4 linked regions of the Arabidopsis thaliana genome follow. The protein of the gene in region 1 interacts with the protein of each later gene in a pairwise test. Each region holds a gene or a part of one and is shown on either strand. Other genes may lie near its edges.

Region 1 (5,744 bases):
TGTTAGAGGTTTTGGACCTGAAATTTTATAACTATAGGTAGAGAATGTTAAGGTTCATAGACACTGTCTCAAAACCAATTGGTGATGTGTTAAGTAACGATAACTCTTAGAGAAGTGGAATCGTTGTTGGTTAGCTTTCAAACAGAGATTATGCAAGTATCATCACCATTGATAGTCAGCACAAAACTGTAGTTTTCAATTTGATAATAATTGGTATAAATGTTTTTGAACAGGAAGTGGGATTAAGAGGGCTGACGAGCAAGCGTCACATGAAGATAATACTAAGGTGGATGAGAGAGAGACAGAAGCTGAAGCTGATATGTAACCATGTTGGTCCTCACAAGCAATTCTTGTACACTACTTGGTTCACTAAACACAACCCTTCTTCTAAATTCCCCAAGTTACCACCGGAAAATCTCACAGGAAAATCCTCTGGCCACCCTCCTAAACTTCCCTGAGCCGACTCTGTTAAGTTTTAAGGCTTTGTTTCTTGAATCTTCCTCTTACAGTTATTAATGATCACCTTAGTAAAATCAATAGCACATATATGTAGCCTGCATCTGAAGATTCCTTGTCTAGATTCTCGTGACAATTGAATATGAAAAGACATGAGATGAAAGTTGATGTTGTTACAGTTGAAGAATGTGTAAATGATACAACTGCATACCAGTTGGTTAACTTTATGTATATAATCGAAATTTCACCTGATTCTGTTGTCATATTAAAAAGACATGATGATACACTCCTGGAAGTGGATCTATACTCCAAGGACTCACTTTGTTGGTTTTGAATTGGAAATGATGTAGTTGATAGTGAATAATGGATTGATCTTAATCAAAGCGGTGGAAAGACGATGAATGGGGATGGCGACGAGATCGAGTGGATGCAGCGGAATGAAAGGGGAACGAATTGTACTTCCAAGAGTGATGAAAGACTCTTAGACTACGAGCTTGGATCCAACTTAGATATTACACACTAAGAAGAAAACAAGTTGAAAAGATACTACACACTTTTCAGATCAAACAAGTGAAAGAGAAAGTTTTTGATTAAAATGTTTGATGATTACAAATGAGAACTACAATGAGTTTATATAGGAGAGGAGGAAGAAGGGGAAGAGGTGAGAGAAGAAAGACATGCAAGAGCATGCACAAGTACACACTCATGCAAAGAGTTTTGGAAATAACAAAAACAATAAATGCAAAGTTTGAAGAGAAAATAGAAAATGGGCCACGGCATTGTGAGTGGGCCTTGGACCACGAATTGAGCTGATAAAGGGAGGCTTGAAAGTGTTCCTTAGGCCTCATTAAAAACCTTGTCAAGAAAACCCATTGGGACAAAACTTGATAAGGGAAAAAGAATGCATAAGCAACACTTAACCCTTTACCGAGCCTCTTGAGCCGTGATCACTATGAAGGAGGATTGAGTCACGTCTTCTTGATTCTTCTTTAGCTCCTTGAGTAGTCCATTGATAGCTTGGTTGAACTTCTTAGATTTTGATCTTGTTAGAGGACCCGCCAGAACGATTAATGCTTCCTCCGGTACAAGCTGCTTCTCGTCTTTTTGTGGTTCAAGTGGTTTGGTTGCCTTGGTCATGTTCTCATCGCATGAGTTTGGACTTGAAACTACAAATACAAAACATAGAAACAGAAGACAAATATTATCATTAAACCAAACTGATGAAGCAGAGAACCAGTTTGATTTCGATCAATTTCCCTCATACATATATGTATGGAAAACTGATCGAGGTCAAACCAGACCCTTTCATTCATTACATTGCTAAAACATATCTGTAACCAAAATTAGCAGAATCAATACATACATATAATAAAGAAGTAACTAGAAGTTAGTTTGAAAACTGCAGAGAAATTATCTTCAAAGTGCTGAAATAGTGTTTGCAAAGTCTTTGAAACAATCAGAGAATCGTAGATTATCTCCATCCAAACATCTCTGAAAATAAGAAAACGGAGTTAGATCCACCGAGACTTGATCATCAACAACAGCGTTCAAAATACTTGCACTAATCTCCTGATGAGTAGTGTTGTCCGAAAACCAATCATTTAGCGCGCTCTCAAAAGGCGTGTCGAAGCCAATGTCTTGATCGTAATCCAGGTTCATTTCAGGTAAAGCAGCGTTGTTATCCATAACACAAAAAGTTTCACAAATCGAGCGAATCTGATCTTGTTCTTCAGTGATCTCATTGAAATTTTCAGGTGAATTATCAGGGACGCAACAAATTGCAGAAGTACTCGACTGAATATTTAGGGTTTGATTTGGCTCTTGAGTAATCTCGTTGAGATTTTCTGGGATGCAACAAATTGGAGAAGCGGACTGAAGAATTAGGGTTTGATCATGAGTTTCGTGGTCTGAAACAAAATCGCACTTGTCGTTGTTCTTCAGGTCCTCGCGATCATTAACGAAAGCTTGATTACAGGCTAAAGCTTCATCCGCACGCAATTCCTTGAGATTCCTCAACAGCGTCCGCATAGAGTCGATCGCTTCACTAATCTCTTGAGGATTCTCCGATCTGGCAAGGCTCTCGTCGTTCCACCAAAAACCTAACCCTAGATTATTGCGAGTCAAACAGATACCAACGTCCTCCCTCGTCTCTTTGTTATCCTTCGGAACAGGACGTTGTCCGGAGAGAAAAGCAGAGACAACGGCATCAACAGAGGAGTGACCGAAAGAGTAGAAGGATACGTTGGATTCAGAAGAAGGAGGAGTCGCTAAGATAGCGATCTGTGCGTCTGAGAGAAGACAAAGCTGAGAGGCTTTGCTATAGAGACCTTCACGGCGTTTGGTGCAGGTAACCCTAAGGGAATCTCTCTTCTGTATCGTCTCAATCGCAATCTTCCTCTTCGTGCCACCTTTTTTCACCATTCTGATTGATTTTTCTCAATTTTGTTGAGTGTGGAGAAAGATAATTGAAAAGTGAAGGCTTCTTCTATCTCTCAGTCTCATATATATAAGGGAAATATCGAAACCCCATATCAATATCATCCACCTAAACCGATTAAACCACATGGACCGTAATCTTGTATGGGCTAAGCCCAACTATCCACCAGAATCCTTTTTTAGTGCAGTCTTATTTATTTTTATTTTGATAATTTTTAGTTATTGTATTATGATTCAGATTTATTTGGAGATATTTTTATTTTTCAAAAAATATTATTTTGCTAGATTCTACAAAAAAAATTTTGTCAGATTATTATGAGAGAGACAAACAAATATATAGCTGGTTCTTCACATTATCGTGTTCATTCTTTCTGGTTCTTCACTCCTTAAAATGTGGCTATGGAGTTGACAAAGGTGACCTGGTAGCAGAAGAAAACTTTGTTAAAGACCTACTGAAAAACAATAGTCCATCAAATAAAACTAACAAAAAAGCCTATCAGCTATCCTAAACACACAAAACTCAAAATATCAATACCAAGAAGAAACAATTGTAATTGGTGACTATAGAACAAACCTTGAGAGAGGGTCATCAACATATAATCACTGACTGATTTCATTGGAGCTTAACCTTGACAGTGTTTCAAAAACACCTAGCAATATCTATCACTCAGTTTACTACCACTGTCTAGAGCAACCAAATCGTCCAGACTTTCTATAAAAACGTTGTTTCTTAGTATTCATCAATTTTTTGTCAAAAATATTTGCAATTATACTGTTTTTGTCTTGATCATCTATTGTAGACTGGATATTTGCACATGTAATGTCAACAATTTCATCTGTTGTTGTACCATTAGCAGAAAAAGAAATGATTCTCAAATTTGGGGTTGGTCAGTCAACAGAAGATGATTCCAAAGCATCAAACGTTTTTGACCTCTCCTCCAATTTCTCTTTACATACAATTTCAAAAAGAAAAAGATTATCTCCAACTAAACCCTAAACCTAAAATTTTCTAACTGAAGGAAAAAAAATCCCCTAAAATTCTCTTCTGCCATTAGAACCAGAGTTTTTAAAGAATTGCAGGAAACCTAACTAAATAATTTGGAAACATGAGAAAAAAAAACATCAGTTTATCTACATAGGCGCGATGATAAGCTACGAAGAAGGTAGCGTCCGGTCGAACCAGTTAGAGAGATTTGAGATTTTGGCTGCTACACTTTTATTTCGACCAAAGAAAGTCTCTGCATTGGACAACATAACTGATACGTCGTGTCGTAATGCTTCCACACTTCGGTAATAGTTGTTCTCAAGCCTTGATCTGATTACTTCAAGAGACAAAGGAACTGGGAACCTGCAGAATGAATCCATAGAACAAAACCATGTCAGCTTTGGCTCCACCAAAGACTCTTCCAGGGTTGTAGAAATTTACCTGTTGGAGTAGCTGGAATTTCCCACGGTCTGGTTCAGTTTTCGGAGGCCAAAAGAATCCTGAAACAAATTAGCCCACATTATATCAATATTGTTAGTTCTTGGGATAATGTTGTGTCTTAATCCACTAAGCTTTAGAATGTGATCTATAAACCAACTAAGCTAATGTAAACATGGGCCTAAGCTCTTTGGGTGAAGTCTGAATTTGGTGGGGAGGATAGGCTAGATTTAACACCATGAGATATTATATTCATTAGGATCACATACCTGGGTTCTCTTGTCTGAAGTCTCTAACTTTGTTAAGGCCGAGAGCAAACGGTTTCGTTGCTCATCATCAATGTGAGGCTGCTCCCACTTGGTATCTGCATCAAAAAGCTCCCAGGGACTGTGAAGATGTGTCTCGGCAGGGTCACTCTTGTACTTAACTGTGTACCTCTCCCACGGACTATCAGGAAAATCAGGTGATTTGGGTTTCACAGCTAGAATCCGTCCTTCCCACCAACTACCATCTTCTTCGCCTTCGTCTCTCCACCAAACTTTACACTTGTCCCTGCAAGTCCAGTTCCTCTGTATTGCTGCTTCATACCGACTTCTTTCCACAAGAAAATCTGGAAACGTCACCACTTCAGGCAACGTAAGTTTGAAAGCTTTGTTGAACACTTCGGAGTTTGGATCGATGACCTTAAGTATCATTTTGCAGCAGCTATCCCCAGAACCAGGCAGAGTTGCATATTCAAGACTTTCCACTTTACAAATTTCTACAGCCTTTATATTTCCTCCTTTTATTGATGTCCAAGGAGCCACTTCCCTCAGGGAGCTAAAGTTTAAGTATTCTTGATGCCCCTGAAAGATAAGAGTAACAGCCGCAGATAAGAGAACTGATACCAAAGGTCGACTAAACGAAACAACAGATAAGATTACCCTCAAAACTTACCTGTCGCAAATACGCAACTTCATCCCCCATTTGTGGAATATAACGAGAACCCTCTTCATGTATCGATAATGTCAACCAGGATACATTTTCTATTAACTGCTGAGGCTTCTTTGTTTCAATAGGTTTAGTTTCACTAAAGGGATAAGTAGACTTTCTATTTCTTGTGGATCTCAACCGAAGTGTTGCTCCAGAAGCGGATCTCAATTCTTCCTGAGAGTTTTGGTTTCCACGTGAATCACTTATTTTATCTTGGATGTGGGTCAAACTGCCTTCCGACTTCTCTAATCCATTCAACTCAGTCCCATGGAACCCATTAGAGGCACCTTCATGGGACTTAGAGCCACTACCATGATCCTGACTACAAGAACCTGGACTGACTTCTTTAGTAAGAGCAGCATCCCTGTCTAAGTTGTTCTTATGCTTCCGTGACTTTCGTCTATAGACAAAATCAAACATCCGTTTAGGATGTGAGTGTGACACAGGAACATCATTA
Region 2 (4,884 bases), about 10 Mb from region 1:
TGAGGAAGCCTCCGCCGTCGCGAAATCTATAGAGGAAAAGGCTTACGACATCGCATCAAGGTTCGTGTCGAGTGATGGGATTAAGAATCTTGAGGTCTATGGCATAGAGACTAGCGAGCGTATGATTGAATCTGCGGAGGTTCGATTCAAAGCCAATGGAAGTATGGAACTACTACTAAATCAAACAATAAAGATGATGCAGTTGCTGATTTAGAGGAGAAGCTTGAGCGTTAAGTTTCCTTATCTCTTTTATGATCTATCTCTAGGGTTTGCTTTTGCTAGATTTGAGATTCTCAAACCAGATTTGTTTCCTTCTTCTTAATATGAGTCGTTGATTGCTTTTGCATTATGTGGTTTAGTATCACACTTATTATTCCTATATAATGTTCAATTTCTTTCGTCCACCACCAGTAACTCTATGCAACTTCCCTCATTAGGTTATGAATAATCCTTGTAAACTTAAAATTATGATTAAGGCTAGGAGGCACGTTGATAGCTCAAACGGATTCGTTGAGGCTCGTGAATAAGCAAAGAGAAGCAGAGAAACAGAGTGAAAACAGAGCAAGGAGAAACAGATTGTTTAACCACTAGCTTGAGAGTCTAGTGAGTTGTATATAAATAGATAGAAGAGTATTGCACAAGTTATGTATTGATGTGTGTGTAACAAACGTATGGTTTGTTAGAGGAGAGTTAGGAGATCTCTTGAACAAATCTTCATTGTTAGGGCTTGGAAGAATTTTAATCTGAAACTCACAAGGCATTGTAATCTGGAAATTCACCATTGGCATCTAAATCCAACAGAGCCAGAGTGTTTCCACCTATTGGACACAGCACTACTTTTAACAACATCTTTTGACGGAAGCTGCCACTAGAGCATCTGACACATAAAACTGTGTCCTCTTGTCTTGCACTACAGGTTTTGAGTTAATCGCTTCTCTTTCAAAACAACTTTGCTCCACTGAATTCCATTCACAGAATTGAACCGAAAACTACAGTTTTTGAGTTCATCGCATCGATCGATTACTCAATTAGTTGCTTATTTGCGTCAATTATGGACATCTAACATTCAGCGTTTATTGTATACTGTATTAAAGCTCTTAATATAGACTCAGACAAAAATAGAATTGAGAATTGCATTCATAATACTTAGGAAAACCATACCAATCAGACAATTAAAACTCATAATCTAAACTAGAAACAGATCGAGTCAGGGACTTGATAGAAGCTTCCGTTGTCATGGTTATAAAGAAAGACAGAATATTTGCTCTGATGTTGACTCAATGATGAAGTCGATAGCTCTTGCTCTGTGTTTGACACACCATTCTCCAATGGTTCTGTCCATTGTTGATTATGGTGATTCTCAGGAGAAGACAATAGATTCGTTGTGGAAGAAACCGCACGGCTCTGACCTAACTTGGTCTGGTTTTTCTCGGGTTGGAGTAACAGAAGCTTATTTTGCAGTACCCGTAGACCACTTTCTAACGAATCCTCCATCTCTAAGACTTTCTCAGACAATTTATTGTCGTCGAGGATCTTCTTACGTAGAAACAGAGAAAGGTTTGTCCTTTTCTTGCATCGCTCTCTCTCGTGTAATCTGCTAAACCTCTCAGCCATGTCTCGAACTTTTGATTGATCTTCCGGCCATGTCTTGATGAGTTCTCCGTCACGACCATAAAGTATGACACAGACTTCGATGTCGCAGAGAGTCGAAAGCTCCAAGGCTTTCTTAAACATGGTCTGTTCTCTCATAGACAAATTCGTGGTCTTTTTTGCAGTGGAAGAAGAAGACAGAGACGATTTCTTGAAGCAAGTTTGGTTTCTCACAGACAATTTGGTTTTCTTCTTCGTCGACATTGAAGAATACATTGTGATGTTTTGTTTACACACAGAACAAAAAGACGCTTTTATTTGTTATCAAAGAAGAGAAAATAAACTCTGATCGAGAGAATTGGGATACCTAAGTGAACAGTTGGGAGACACTGTTTACTTGTGGGATGCGTCTAGTTGTTATACATCTAAGCTTGTGACCATTGATGATGAGAATGGACCTGTCACAAGTATTAACTGGACGCAAGATGGTCTTGATCTGGCAGTTGGTCTTGACAACAGTGAAGTCCAGGTTTGGGATTGTGTTTCCAATCGTCATGTGAGAACATTGAGAGGTGGTCACGAGTCAAGAGTAGGATCATTGGCATGGAACAATCACATTCTAACAACTGGAGGAATGGATGGAAAGATCGTCAACAATGATGTGAGGATCAGATCATCCATTATTGGAACTTACGTGGGTCACACTGAAGAGGTTTGTGGTCTTAAGTGGTCAGAATCTGGAAAAAAACTAGCAAGTGGTGGTAACGACAATGTAGTACACATATGGGATCGTTCTCTCGCTTCCTCAAACCCAACTAGGCAATGGCTGCATAGGTTTGAGGAACATACTGCTGCAGTGAGAGCTCTTGCGTGGTGCCCTTTCCAAGCAAGTTTGCTTGCAACTGGTGGTGGTGTTGGAGATGGGAAGATTAACTTCTGGAATACACACACTGGGGCTTGCTTGAATTCAGTAGAAACTGGCTCTCAAGTATGTTCATTGTTATGGAGCAAAAGTGAAAGAGAGTTGCTTAGCGCACATGGGTTTACGCAGAACCAGCTTACACTTTGGAAGTACCCATCTATGGTGAAAATGGCTGAACTCAATGGTCATACATCAAGAGTTCTTTTTATGGCACAGAGTCCGGATGGTTGTACCGTGGCTTCAGCAGCAGGTGACGAGACTCTCAGGCTTTGGAATGTTTTTGGAGAACCACCTAAGACCACCAAGAAAGCTGCTTCAAAAAAATATACGGAGCCATTTGCTCATGTGAATCATATTAGGTGAATCTACTGTGAAGACTAACAAGGAGAAAACCATTGATAGGTAAATAATGTATAGAGAAGCAATGTATTCATCTTTTTTCCTGATTCATTATTCATGAATTTTATATAGTTAATACAAAACCAATTATATATGTAAACTGTTGAGTCAAACACAACTAATATAGTATATATATTTCTTTATGAGATTTTTATGTAAAACTCTGTGATGTTGATGCTTATTGAAGCTTAATTTGTTGTTGAAAGAACAACTCTTTCCGATTCAAAGATTGAATTTTCCCCATCAAAGGCTCTGTTTTGGATTTCATTGCAGAACCAAAGTCCTTTTTTTTAACACATACGTGTTAAGGTTTAGGATCTCTTAACCTCACTTTACAATCTCAGAACGATAAAACAGAGATTAACATTGATCTCTCTTCAAGCACATCGCTTGGCTCAAGCACATCGCTCGACTATCACATTCAACATAAAGCATAAACCAGAAATGAGTGAGTAATGACTAATTTATACTCGATTCCCTTCAATAGCAAAGCCTCTGTTTCCACCCAAGTCTTTCTCTTCTTCTTTGCCTTTGTCCATGTCATCATTCAAGTCAACATTCTTCTTCTGACGTGGCATCATCCTTACATGGATCGTATCAATACGCTTGAGGTTGTGTGTTGGTGGTGTTTCTGGATTTGTGTGTTGCTTTTTATGGTAGGTCTTGGAATAAAGACACTTGCTTTTTGTTCAGTTCGAGTTTTGCGTTTTCTAGAATCCAAAACAATATTAGTTCATAGCTTGATGAAATAATCTAGGCTCCATTTGTCATCTCTCTTATAATTGGCAAACCAATGATTTATGAAACCGCAAAGTCGGGTTATCTAGAATCGGTTTCCATAAGCTATGTTTAATATTCTGGTTTTGTTGAATAAAACCGGTTATGACAAAACCGGTGAAGCAACTAAGAGCACGTACATAGAGTATCATTAGTAAATTTTTAATATTAATTAGATTATAACCCGCGGTACACCGTAGAGACAATTAATTTTTTTAAATTAGTATATATAAAAGTCTGCAAATTATATTTATCTATAAAAATAAATATTTTTTATAGTTTACAATTGTTATTAAGTAACATCTTTTCAAACTCGTTCCGTCAAACCCGTCCCGTTAAAAAAATCCACGGTACACCGCTAATTTAAATAAATATTTTACAGGATTGCAATTATATTTTAGTTTGTCAAACAAATTTTTGTTTTAAATAGTTGTCGAAATCTAGTTCAAATATTGGAGAAATAAGATTTAATGAACTGATAAGAAATGTATTTAGGTGAGTTTTGCTCATTTTAAGGGATTGCAATTGTATTTTGGTTTGTCAAATATTTTTTGTTTTAAATAGTTTCCAAAATCTAGTTCAAATTTTGGAGAAATCTGCGTGATATATGGGATTGAAATATGTTTGGAATATTTTTTGTTTGTTAATCAATTCATTGCCAAAAGAAAACCAATAATTAAAAGCAGTGACAGCCATTGTAAATAAGTTCCAACTCCAAGATTTATTTCACAAAATGGCTGCAAAAATGTATATGTAGATTTTAATGTTTATTTATTGTTTAAAATTTTGTATGATACTTATATGGTTTTTGGTGATATTGTTACCAGTATAATAAAAAATCTCAAACAATAAATAGACATTAAAATTAATACTAAAAAATTGTTAATAATACTCATTGAATATCAACTATGTGCATGCTCTAAGACCATGTTTATATGAACAACACAGCTCAAAACGACAGATCTTTGAGAAGATTGACAATCCATGTGATTTCTGAAACTGTTTCTGACATGGCTCTATATTCTACTTCAGTGGAACTCTTGGCTACTGTAGGTTGTTTTCTTGATGACCAAGAGATGAGGTTGTTGCCTAGAAAAGTGCAGAAACCTCCAGTGGATCTCCTTGTAGAGTGACAACCAGCATGATCGCTATCACTGTAAGCCCTCAATTTACAATCTGTATCCTTGTTGAAGGAG
Region 3 (6,673 bases), 4.1 Mb from region 1:
ACTGAAACCGAAGCTAGTCACCAAGCCCAAGTCCAATCCTCTGAAAATAACAATGACACAAAATCAGGTACGAGATCTAAGTTTCCTCATTTGCAAATCTAACCTAACACATAAGTTTGGAGTATAGATTTCAGTCTAATGTTATATCAATCCATAATGTAGGTAAGACGCAAGCTAAGAGGAGTAGAGTTCGTTTACCGCAACTAAGGCCTTTCAAGCCTTTTCTACTTCAATCAAGGTTCAAAAGGATCAGTAAAAAAAGAAAACATTGAAGAGCTTGATCATTCTTATAAGTACAAGTTTTGTCCATTAATTTATACCCACGCAAGTCTCGTGGTTTCATTTTTGAACCGATTATAAAATGGGGGAAAGAAAGAATCTAATTTATTCTCTAGAGTTGATTCTTTGTGTACTCGTGTTCAAGAAAAAGGCTTTTAGTTAAAATATTAAAAAGGAAAAAAAAAAGTTAAAAAGATTTAAGAGTGGAGGAGTCGGTAAATCTACCGCCGGCCGACAAAAGTCGGGGACAATGTCGCCGGAGGGCCTACATCTCCCTCCATAGCCATTGCTAAAGAAGAAAGACTGCTCTCTTTCCTTTTTCAAAACTACTTTATTTATAATCTAATTGAGAAGCATTATTCTTCACATTATTACTAATTACCTACTTGTGAGAAAAATTATTCTCTTATTACTAAAGATGCCTAACATTCAAATTATTTTCACTTTTAAATAAAAATAAATGATTTTTGTTACTGTTGGAAAATAATATAGTCTTACAATCAAAGTAACATTTTTTCTTGCAAAATATCAAAAGTGCTGAGAAACTTTTCCATAGCTTTTTTTTTTGGCAAAAATAATTGCTAGTATGTTTTCCTCTAGCTTTTTTTATATACTGACTTATGAGAATGAATGTATGGGTTGATTACTTTAAGTTAGTTTATTTGAGTGGAAGCTTCTTTGATATCTTAAGAATTCTTAAGGTATATAATATATGTTTACCTTTGGAGATTGCTAGTACTTAGCACGATGTGTAATCAACGTGAGAGTATTATGAAATCATCAAAGTAACATGGCCATGTGTTCATTATATGTTTTTCAATGCTAAAAGTTATCATCTTTGTACTTTCTAAATACTTTTGTAAATCAAGTTGGTAAAAGAAAAATCAGACCATTAAGGAACATACTAAACTATACATTAACTATTTAAGGGTCCATATACATTAACGATGTGTAATCAATTTGTTTTAGTTGGAGTTCGATATTTTTAATTGTTTTATGTATATCGTTTGCAACTCACTTATGGACTACCGAATTTAAATGACGGATCTAATACGGCGACGACGTTTTATCTCAAATCCACTTTGTTCTCAATAGGTGAATATCGTTTTGTTTTGCCTTTAACCTATCTAAAACCCCATTTATCTCACTTATAGAACTCAGTGCCATGCTAAGACAATTGCAATCGTCAATTGACAAAGTGGCATATACCACTCATGCAGAATTGTATGGCCAGTGAAAAAGGATTAGTTTGCAAATATCTCAGATCAAAAATACAAGATATGTTATTCTTATATACAAAGATAACACAAAACCTACACATGAGTTTAGCAACATGGGGAAATCTTTTAAACCAAAACAAATTAAAGTGCCATATATAAACATATATAAGAAAAACAAACATAGAAGAGATTAAATTAGTTGAGGAAGTGATTAGCAGAGAAAGAATCAAGAAAAGATGCCCACGTGTCGACATCTCCTACCACGGCTTCCATAACATCAACTTGTTCTTGTTGTGAGATCTCATCATTTCTTGCAAATCTCCCTCTTATTCTTGGCCTACTGTCCGCTAATGTCTTCCTGCATTCGTACTAATAGAAAGATAAAAGATTATTATTAAACCTGTCCCAAAGTATTGTGATAGTTTTTAGATCATTCACAAGTCAAAACTTGTCGGTCAAAAAATTATAACGCGAGCAGAAATATCTCATTGAGATACGGTTTGAATATGTTAGTACATGAATACTCCAATCCGATCTTTAATTAGCAATGAAATATATTTGTGGACCTTCTTGTAAGAAAAAACTAATGGAGAAAAAAACTTGTAGCAACCTTGGAGCTTGATGTGTCTATCTCAAAGGATTCCTTAGACCCAAATATGATGTGACAGAACATTAATTCTCGTTCACATACTCATATATATCAGATGAAATTCTATTTATGTTTGAAGATAAGATTGAAAAGAAAAATTCAATGTTACTTTTTAGTGATAAGAGTGATTGATATGATACATTGAGCCTGTTTTTTTTTTTTTTTTTGGTCAACGAACCATTTAGTTTTGTATTAAATGTGAAAAAAAAACAGTATTACTAAGAAAAGATATCTTATACATTTGATTTTAAGAAAATAGACATTTATATATGCTCTTGTGTATGAAATTATACAGAAATCATTATTAGTTGATTAATGAAGAAATTTATAGGAAATTGTATGCTTGATTAGAAAATGGTTGCATCAATATATGTGAAGGTGCATGTCACTGTTCCATACAACTACTGTACATGTCAAGTCCTCAAAAGTTTTCCATGCGACACATATATACACATGTTGAATATATAATATAGGTTAGGTGTACATGGACTCTATGTGATGAAGAACAATATGAATCAAATGATAAATTCTTATATGTTAAAATAAGATATAAGAATTTATGCTAACAAACAGTTTAGAACAAAGAAACAACTGTAAAACATTTATAAAATTACCTTAATCCTCTTGTTGAAATTCCTAAGGTTTCGTTTGCTACGATATTTCTCGATCTTTTCTTTCTTCTCCTCAGGACTATACTTGTAGGCTTTGCTCATTCCTTCTATTATTGCATTGCTCTCACTCCACACCGTACTGCTCTCTCTTCTGCTACTCCTCTACACACATACCAAAACAGTGTCGTCTTATGTTATGATAGAATTATTATTATTTTCAAATAAAACCCCAAATTTTAGTATGTTTAGATAATTTATTTGTGTTTTGGTGTTTTCATTTTACACTCTTGCAAAACCATAAAACAAACCAACAATATAATGTTTCGTTTTATAAAATGTGAAAAATTTCATACGTAAACGAAAACATAAAAGTTAACGTTTGAAATCTCGAAACTGCAAGTGTGTATATAATATTACTTACGGGTAGATCTCCGGCGCTAAGGGCCCGTCTCACTGGCCCATCATCATCGTTAACGAAATCATGGGCCGCTGTGTAATTACCGGAAAAGCCATTATGGCTACTAACACTCCTCTGCATAACAAGACTCTCTCCGCCACTCCCCATAGAGCTTGGCGAGTCGCAGCTGCTGCTTCCACCACCACCGTTCATGCCGGAATCAAAGTAACCGAACCCTGAAACCGCCTCGGCCGCGTATAGAGAGTTTTGGCTCATCATAAGAAGCGCCAAAGGCGGAGGCGGGAACTGATGATGATGATGATCAAGCAGCTGAGGAGGAGCCACTATGTCGTCGGAGTATAGAAAACATGGACAGTTGTCGCCGGAGGTTATAGAAGTGCTGACGTGTCCACACATGGTGGGTTTTAGTTTATTGTGGTGTTTATGTGTCTTTGTGTGTTTGTTTATGTGTGTGTGTGTGAGTGAGTGAAACTCGAAGTGGTTTGGTTTCTATTTAACAGAGGAAGGACTGATGCTGACGTCATTAATCGTCATCTGAAGTCAACTGACTTAACCGTTGACTTCTTTTGACTGACTAGGAAAAAAGGAATCTTTAGGTATAAAAAGAGTTGCCTTTCGTTTTCAGGTCGCTTCTATCTCACTCTCACCCGTTATTCTTCAAACGACATATATTACACGAAATTGAATCCGACATGTATTATACGAAGGTGAATTTGGATAGTTGAACAAAAATGATAATTATTTTTTCATTTAGGTTTAAAAATGTTTTCATTAAAAATAGAACTACTACTAAAAACAAAAATTCAAATATACTTACTTATATATAGGTTACTGATTAATATGCTATCAATTATAAATACAGAGGAAGAAAGCTAGTGACAAATAATTACTAATTATAACCAAGTGTTGTTAATTCAATTAGTAAAAACCCTAGACGAAACTTAGAGATCGCCAGTTCGAATGACGTTTAGAACAAAAGTAATATTATATGCTGTAGTTTCGGGTACGGAGGGATTACGGGTTTCAGTCCAAAACCTCTTGGTATTCAAAAAAAAAAATACTAATTATATTGAATTTCAAAAAAATTGTTATTATATTGAATTTTATAATTAGTAAACTCTTTCTTTTTTTTCAATCTCTTTAACACATTTACGTTTCAAACTAAATGGCGTTATAACATTTTTTAATGTATTAAGAATTTCACAACGATAATTGTTGTAAAATGGAAGGCATAATCATTTCTTGAAACAGTAAATTTACTGATATTTTCGTAAGCAATTGTGTTTTAACTTCAAGTCCTTGACGAAAAAAAATATACAATTGTGTTTTAAAATAGTAGATAGATAACATCTCGTGCAACATTCATAAATCATAACAGCAAAAGAACAATGTAAAGAAAAATAAAATAAAATAAAGGACACGACTTAGCTTTTTAGCTCGAATTGTATAGGAGAGACAAAAAGATGGTTAAAAGCATTATTTCACGCAAACCCATGTGAGCAGCATACAAATCTACTTTTTTGCCTAATTAATCATTAACTTAATCAACAGTAATAATTAATTAAGCTCAGATACTTGATTGCTTTGGTTATGTTCACATTAAACGGGTGTTTAGTCCGGTCCGGATAATTAACCAGACAAGACACGATAGTACTGCTCTGTATATGAATTGTATATCTGTTCCAATCCATGATTAGTCAGGTTAATTAGCCAGAATTTTTTGTTTGGAATCAAATCGATTTAGGTAACATATCGAGAGAATATCTCAAACGAGTTATACATAGCTACCCCTACGGTAAAGTATATAAATATTGTTTTTTTTTATAGATATTTTGTTTACGATTAGTTACATTCCAAGAACGAAATTCGAATAGTAGGATCACTGCATATATACCAATATATTGTAGGAACACGTTGTAGTCAGTCACTAAATTGGCCTACTCATCATCATCATCATACATAATACATAATCACTCATTTAAGAACAAAACAACTTATAATTTCCTGTTTAAGCCTCACTCCATAATGAGGATACATAATATCAACCCAACTCGTGGTGTTTGTTTAGTAGAAAAATTAACCCACATATCACATTATTACTACTAGATGATATTGATTATATTTATCTAATTCAGTCCAATCCAAGTTTAAACTAAAATGATTATATATCTATATGTATCCAAAATATTTCATTTGGATGATGGTAACAAACCGAACCAAAAATGAAAAATCAAATTTGTTACATCTAAAACCTAAATTTGAACCAAAATTAACAAAAGTGCACTAACTTAGATAGTCTTCCTCCTGAAATGTGTATACAATCTTCCCTTGTATTAGGGGAAATGATTGTTCTTCTCCATTACATTCTATATATACAATATGGGTCCGTCGATAAATTTATTTGAAGAATTTTTTCTCGTCGATATCACTTCTCTAAGCCAAATATATAATTTTATTTTATTTATGGGGTACGAAAGCATCTTTTTCACTTAAGAGGATCGGAATGTAGGTCCATTAGAATCAACGAAATAAAAATTAGTTATATTTTTTTTCTTTGATTAACACAAACTTTCATTTTTTATGCGCCGGAAACTAGAGCATGTAAATTAGTCTCCTCTAAACAGGTCAATTAGTAGGAAGAGAGCTGTAAATCTCATTTTGAGAGAGTATTTTCAAACAACACTAAACCATCATCTATTGGGATTATCTATAGTTTTTTTTTATCGATTACTCTTCTTTTTATCGTCAACGTACAAACATTAATGTCGATTTGTGTTTGTTCCGTATCCACCACTCTTATTGTAATTTCTAAATATACTAGCTGTGTTTTGCAAACATTTTTTAGGGAACGTTGAAGACATTTCAAAACTTAAAACAAAGTTGCCCCACATAATGTAGAGACATAAATAATAATTCGCAATCGTTACGAGGACATAGGATCTCGATTCCAACAGTGGATAGATGTACTATGGGACTAATTAGAAAGACATTTTGTGTATCCTTAAGGGCAAAATAGCCACAAGTTGATGGGAAAGGTCATGCAAAAGCAAAATCTATAGATCAATCGATGGTAACGAAGACTTTTTCTATTTGGTGGTAAACTTTGTAGCATAATGTACCAAAAACAAAACGTTTCATGCTATGGTTGGTTCATAACTAGTTTCGAGTTTTAACGATCCAATAAGAATTGTTCTTTTTGTTTTTAATAAATAGTGTTTTTGTTTTTGCATTTCTTACCACCACTGGAGCAAATTATTGGTTTTATACTTTCGCAAGTCTCTCAGTAACCCACTTTGGTTATTTGCACACAACAATTATATACCTAGTTGTAGTTTCAAGAAGGTCAACGGTTCATGAAAACGATGATAGAATAGGGGAGATATATATTTTAGTATTTATTCCTATTACTAATGAAATTATATAAATAAATATAAGTAATACTATAAAATGAACTTAAAACTGAAATTAATATAATCGTGTGAAAACGTTACTACTA
Region 4 (6,115 bases), about 11 Mb from region 1:
TGAAGAGCACGCCAATTGAATAAACGGCGACTGGCATTAACGCTTTGAGCATCTGAATGAAGGAGACCGAGAGGTAAATGTAGGCTGAGTTAGAGAGCCAAAGAGAGAGTGAATACAAGGCTCCGATCGGGACGACGGATCTGAGATAAGTGTCACGTGACATTGAGACCGGTTCGACAAATTTGAAGACCTTGATGAGAAGAAAAGCTAGGGTTGAGCAAAAGGACATGTGGATCATTGTGAGTGAGATCGGGAATGGCCAATCGTACATCTTCTTGTCGAGGATATATTTGTTGTAGACGATGACGGTGAAGCTTAGGAAGATCCATATTGCTACGTATGTGTAGGAGATGATTATGTTCTTAATCACGCCTTCGCTTAGTGATCCACCTTTACCCATATTCGTGATGTTTTTGCCTCTCTTACGACGGTGGTTCTGCGGCGGAGACGGTGGTGTATTCTCCGAAGTTTGTGAATTTTGGTGAGATCCTGAAAAAACGTTTTCAGAGTTTACTAAAAGAGAGAGACTCACACGTAACGGAAGTGATTCACCAATTTATAATTGTTTTCGGTTATAAATAAAATAAAATAAAAAGAATAATAGCGAAATTAATTAAATTTTAAAACGACCAAACCAGTCAAATTCTGAACTAACAAAATGTAATTTAACTCTAAACCAGCCAATATAACTAGTTAAAACTTTATACCTGGTGTTTGTGTCCGTTTTAAGATTTTAAATCATTTTTGAGAAACAATGTTTACATAAATGATATAGTGCGGTTGAATACTAATATTTTTATTCGATATAACATGAATATTTAATTAGTTACATATTTATGTATTTTTAAAACTTATTAGACCTCTCATATAAAATATCTAGAAGACATATATAACAGTATTTATATTTTAAGTATCCAAAAAACAAAAATATTGCCGGTAATCTATATATAATCGTCTCAGTCAAAATAGAATAAAAATAATAAAATAACCCTACCGCATCAAAATATCCAAAATATCAAAATTCGTCAACTTAACCTATTAAATATTTATGTCAAAATAGATGCTCTCCTTATATCTAAACAAGATGTTTAAACATCGACACAAAATATCCAAAATCCAAAGTGTGTCCATGATATGATATCATATATAAACTTGAGATGCTATCTAGACTTGGAAGAGGTTCACTTGATAAAATGTTTCAACTTGAGCTAGTTGATTAATTTTAGCCCGCTTAGATTTATTTACTTGAATCTCTTTTGTTATGTAAGATAATTTACTTAAACTTGTATGTGAAACTAAGTCAAAATCGCCTTTATCACATGCCTAAGTAAAAAATAATCAAATAAAATTGAATATCAAAAATCAGTATTTTAAAATAAAATTCTATAAGAATTGCTCATAAAGTTTATCATGATCGGGACAAGACGGAATAGGACAGGACATGAACTTTACCCAAACCAGGTAAACATGTTAAAATAGTAAAACCTTTCTTAATCTAGGTAGGACTAACATTCGAATCACAAGAATCTGATTCGCAGATGTGTTTAACAAAAGTGGCAAATCTCTTTCACATTTAATGTTCATTATTCTTTATTAAACTAATTAATTATCATCCTACCACTTGTACCTTCATAAGTATCATAATGACTACTATACTAATCTCCTGTAATTATATCATGTCCACAAATTCAATAGAAAATATCAACTACTCTTTAAACAGTAGGCCATATCAGTTTACAAGTCTTAGAATCACAACACATATACTATATTTGAGGAAAAATGTTTACGTATATATACGTACTCATTTCTAGAGCTATCATATATTCATATATATGTTCGAAAATTATATTAATTATTAGCTACACGTAAATTACTTACCCTCGATTATTATTAACCCTCAACTATATTATTATCTTGATCATATAATTCAATGATTCTCCTTTAGACCTGTGCAATGGATCCAGATCCAGGACAGGTCCAGTTAAGCAACTCCTCGATCATCTGCATCGCCATTTGATCATCTTCCTGAACGTCTTCGTTTCGTACCTTCATCTTATTAGTCTCAATATCACCACCGGGACGTGCGTTAACTTTGTCACCTAGTTCAACAAGCTTGACCCAGTTTGGACTCGTTTTTGACCCGGCGCGTTTCTGCCAGACGCCGATGTGTGAGCTGTCGTTGTCGAGGCGGAGACACGTCAGATACGGTGTCTGGTCTTTACAGTTCTTCCTTAGCTTAGCGTTCAATAGTTCCGATAATGATTTGGGAGACCTTAACGCAGAGTTAATCTCCAAGGAATTTGAACCGTTCGATTTGATGACGGGGAAGTTAGTCTTCGCGCTCTGGCCGTTCATTAGAACCGCGGCTTGGTCGTAGGCTCTAGCCGCTGTTTCCGCCGTGTCGAATGTTCCTAGCCACACTCTTCTCTTCCTGATAGCTCACATAAGTTACGTAAGCAAAAAACACACATTTTATTCAAACTTCAAAGTACTAAAACAAACACACAACAAATTTGTTATAAATTGTTACTGATAATAAATTGGGTCGTTTTCTTTTTGAGGAAAGTTTATAGTGAGTAGTGTTCGTTCCTTCCCAATTCTTTGCTATATGATTTTCTATAATCCAACTAAGACATAGAAAATACATCAGTATCAATTATATGACAAAGCATTTAAATTTATGTACACTCAAAATTTCAAAATACAACACAAAAAGTACAAATACTCAACATATGTATATGTTAATAAACGTGGGTTTTTTAATTGGAAAAAAATAAGGAAAACGACTTAAACAAAAATGCATGATATTATAAGAGCTTTGCATGAATCTTCGAAAATATAATCAATGATCAGAAAACTGCCCTACACGTACACCAAAAATGTAAACTTAACTCATAGCATGGACTTGCATAAACAGATTTATACTGTTGTCTCTATTAATAGATAGAGAGGGAGAGAGAACTGACAAGAGAGGATGACGAATCTCAGAAACCCAAGAACCCCACTGACGCTGGCGGACACCTCGGAACTTCTTCGAATGTACCATTCTTCTGTTTTAAATTAGGGTTCTTAATTTCTCTGTGTGTTTCTGACACGAACTAAGAATAGGAGAGAAAGTGAGAGTGGGAGAGAGATTCCTCGTCTCTGATCTTTCTATCTCCAACTACTCACTTAACTCTCTGCTTTTCCCACGTCCTCTCTACTGATATTTATTGTATGTCCCCTATCTCTTCCGTGTCATGGGGTTATTGGATTATATATAGCGTTAGGAAAACTACATGACAAGATAGTCCAAGTACAAATACTAGTTTTGCTACATATAACTAATCCTTTTCCATTTGATCATACTTGTCATTCTACAATGTTAATAATTACCCTACAACGTACAAATACTTGATGTCAGTTCATACCATGCATACAATGGTACCAAGTGATCATATTTCTTATTGCCTATCAATTCGTCTCTTTTCTTCATTAATTATGTGAATATTTGATAAGAAGAAATGTTATTGTTTAAAAATAGATCACGTTTTACTGTTTTAAGTGTTTATCGCTAATGCAAACTATCGAATGGACACTGACCCACAACCAATTACGAAGCCTAGTGGATTTTGGTAACCAAATGCATAAAATCGTACTAAGGTAACTATAATGATGTCCCATGTGTATTCAATTATTCATATACAGTTAAACCTCTATAAATTAATACTCGATAAATTAATAACCTCTATAAATTAATAAATTCTTCCAGTCCCGAGTTGGGATCAGTGTAAAAAGTGACACAAATCGATAAATTAATAAGATAATAACTTTTTAAAAAATCTTATGTAAATATATGGTCCCATCAATATCATAAATTAATAATTTTATAAATATATCAACTATATATACATTATATGTAAGAAATTATTTTGAAATATAATTCTAATATTTTTTTGCTTAAAATTTGTATTTATTCTTATTTAAATTTAGTTATAGTATTTTACTTTATCAAAAACTTTTGGTGTTGTTTTCTAAACATGATATTATTATTTACTTGTAATTGATTTTTGAAAGATATTTTCTATAATGAAAAAAATTTTATAGAAATTTTTGAAAAGTTACTAAATTACGAAAATCTCTCTATAAATTAATAAATATTAATTTATCGATAAATTAAAATCTTTCTAAATTAATAAAATTTTGCAGTCCCAACATTATTAATTTATAGAGGTTTTACTGTAGATGTCTTTCTATTTATAAACCTGTATTAACTCATACTGATTTTTTGTAAAGATTACACTTAATTAGAAGACTGATCACATCCCACACCTCTTGCCGTCGAATTTATTCCGAGTTACATAGCAATTCAAATTAAATGCTATCAAATTTTACTAACAGATAACTTAAACAGTGACGTGAAAACGTCGTCAAAACATATTTCATTCATCTATTTAATTTTCATTGTTTGATTTCTTATAGATCTATTAATTCGACACAAAACAGAGACCTCGATTTCATCTTTTTCGATCATCTACGTTTATGTTACTACCGGTTAAAATTTCTGAGAATAATTAAAATTATAGAAGTGTTTTTACTGATCAATTAATGAAAAGGCTAGAGAATTGTCGGTGCGTCGCGTGGTAAAGTCCACGGATATTTGGAGTAGTTGTTGTCCATTAAATGTTATGAACCTAAAGGAGACAAGAACGAGTTAAACCTTAAGCTTGAATAAATGAATTCACCAACATCTGCTAAACGTACAAAATTAAATTTATAAGTTGAAATGTATATAAGGATGTGACAGCCACATGAATATATAATGGCTCTGATGAATGCAAATGGTACAAGACGATGCAGGATAGGTGCGGTGGTAATCCTTTTGTTTTTCAATATTTAGATGTTTAACAAAGATCAGTTTTTAATTAATGTGTGGTTGACAAAAAAACAAAGATCAGTTTTGAGTCATTTAAAGTTTCTATAACAATTCTAAATTTCATTATATTTTTTAGAGCTAAAATAATTCAATAAACGTTTAATTATATGAATAATAATAAAATATTGGTCTAGAAATTGGTAATTCTCACAAATAGCACATAAATAATTCAAGAATAATTATATGAATTATAATAATAAAAAATTGGTCTAGAAATATGCAATTCTCATAAATAGCATGAAAGTAAGTTTGTTACTAAATTTAACACACAATCTCTAAAACTCTAAAAAAACACAAATTCATAGTAAAAAACTAATATAAAGTTATTAACATTCGATTGACGTTTCACACGATTGTTTGTAAATTAATCGTGATTTCAAATTGTAATTAATTTTGTTAATTTATATAATTATAAAATAGTTACTGAGTAAATTCACTAAAGCTAATTTTACAAATTTGTGGACAATGTTATTTTAATTGTCCATTAAACTTGTTTGAGTGCTATTTTAGGATATTTCTCTATGATATATCGCTCCGTTTATTTACGACAAATATACGTATAATTCATCTTTAGTATGATATTGTGAAAGAAATAATTACTTGTTAATGGAAAGCCAAGTTTTCAACAAATTTTGTCTTTATAGATCTTTGTTTAAATGGGTATCAACTAGGCTTTTCACTCAAGACAGGAAAAGGTTGGCATAAGAGAGAAAACCCAGTTTGTATTGTTTTAGAGAATCTGGTATTGCTTAGGTCGAGTTTCTTGAACAAGAAACAAAAGGTTTTTCATATTTGTTTATTGTGAAGTTTATTTGGGCCCAATGGAATGTAATTACCACTGGAACATCACTTGGTAACCAAAACTAAATAAATATACAATGGCGCATGAACACTTGCTTTTATTAATGAGTCTACAAAAATCTATAACATTTTTTTACTGTGAAGGACAAATCTCAATGAGTCAAAATTGTGTTTTGGTTGATACAATTTTCCATGAGATGGCACTTCTTTGGAAGCACCTGACACTAACAACAGTTACAGGTAAAAGATAGACAGACAACTTACAAGGAAAACTATTCCATAACTGTAGAGACCAAAACTGATGTCTGAAACTAGGATTGATGATCACCTGATACAAACTGCTGAAGCCAGAGAGTTGTGCTGACTTGGTCATATCAGGAGAATCAGAAAATCTGCGGT

What was found.
Region 2: the proteins of AT5G49420 (region 1) and AT5G27944 interact in a two-hybrid assay, tested with the Arabidopsis thaliana proteins (one large-scale study listed by BioGRID).
Region 3: the proteins of AT5G49420 (region 1) and AT5G59990 interact in a two-hybrid assay, tested with the Arabidopsis thaliana proteins (one large-scale study listed by BioGRID).
Region 4: the proteins of AT5G49420 (region 1) and SHN3 interact in a two-hybrid assay, tested with the Arabidopsis thaliana proteins (one large-scale study listed by BioGRID).

Annotation. Positions count from the first base shown.
Region 1 is NC_003076.8:20,033,294-20,039,037, forward strand, and holds AT5G49420 (MADS-box transcription factor family protein), read right to left. Parts: upstream 2,913-5,744; 5' UTR 2,878-2,912; coding exon 1,873-2,877; 3' UTR 1,820-1,872; intron 1,623-1,819; 3' UTR 1,379-1,622; downstream 1-1,378. Other genes in the region: AT5G49410 (thiamine-phosphate synthase), read left to right, coding at 234-458; AT5G49430 (WD40/YVTN repeat and Bromo-WDR9-I-like domain-containing protein), read right to left, coding at 4,045-4,240, 4,319-4,377, 4,585-5,160, 5,252-5,744.
Region 2 is NC_003076.8:9,974,727-9,979,610, forward strand, and holds AT5G27944 (MADS-box transcription factor family protein), read right to left. Parts: upstream 1,867-4,884; coding exon 1,192-1,866; downstream 1-1,191. Other genes in the region: WPP3 (WPP domain protein 3), read left to right, coding at 1-214; AT5G27945 (Transducin/WD40 repeat-like superfamily protein), read left to right, coding at 1,281-1,557, 1,776-1,872, 1,963-2,875.
Region 3 is NC_003076.8:24,149,512-24,156,184, forward strand, and holds AT5G59990 (CCT motif family protein), read right to left. Parts: upstream 3,691-6,673; 5' UTR 3,574-3,690; coding exon 3,181-3,573; intron 2,922-3,180; coding exon 2,763-2,921; coding exon of another isoform or gene 2,751-2,762; exon of another isoform or gene 2,340-2,750; intron 1,869-2,339; coding exon 1,695-1,868; 3' UTR 1,423-1,694; downstream 1-1,422. Other genes in the region: GAF1 (Polymerase/histidinol phosphatase-like protein), read left to right, coding at 1-67, 163-272.
Region 4 is NC_003076.8:8,817,568-8,823,682, reverse strand, and holds SHN3 (Integrase-type DNA-binding superfamily protein), read right to left. Parts: upstream 3,226-6,115; 5' UTR 3,047-3,225; coding exon 2,967-3,046; intron 2,432-2,966; coding exon 1,942-2,431; 3' UTR 1,621-1,941; downstream 1-1,620. Other genes in the region: AT5G25400 (Nucleotide-sugar transporter family protein), read right to left, coding at 1-400.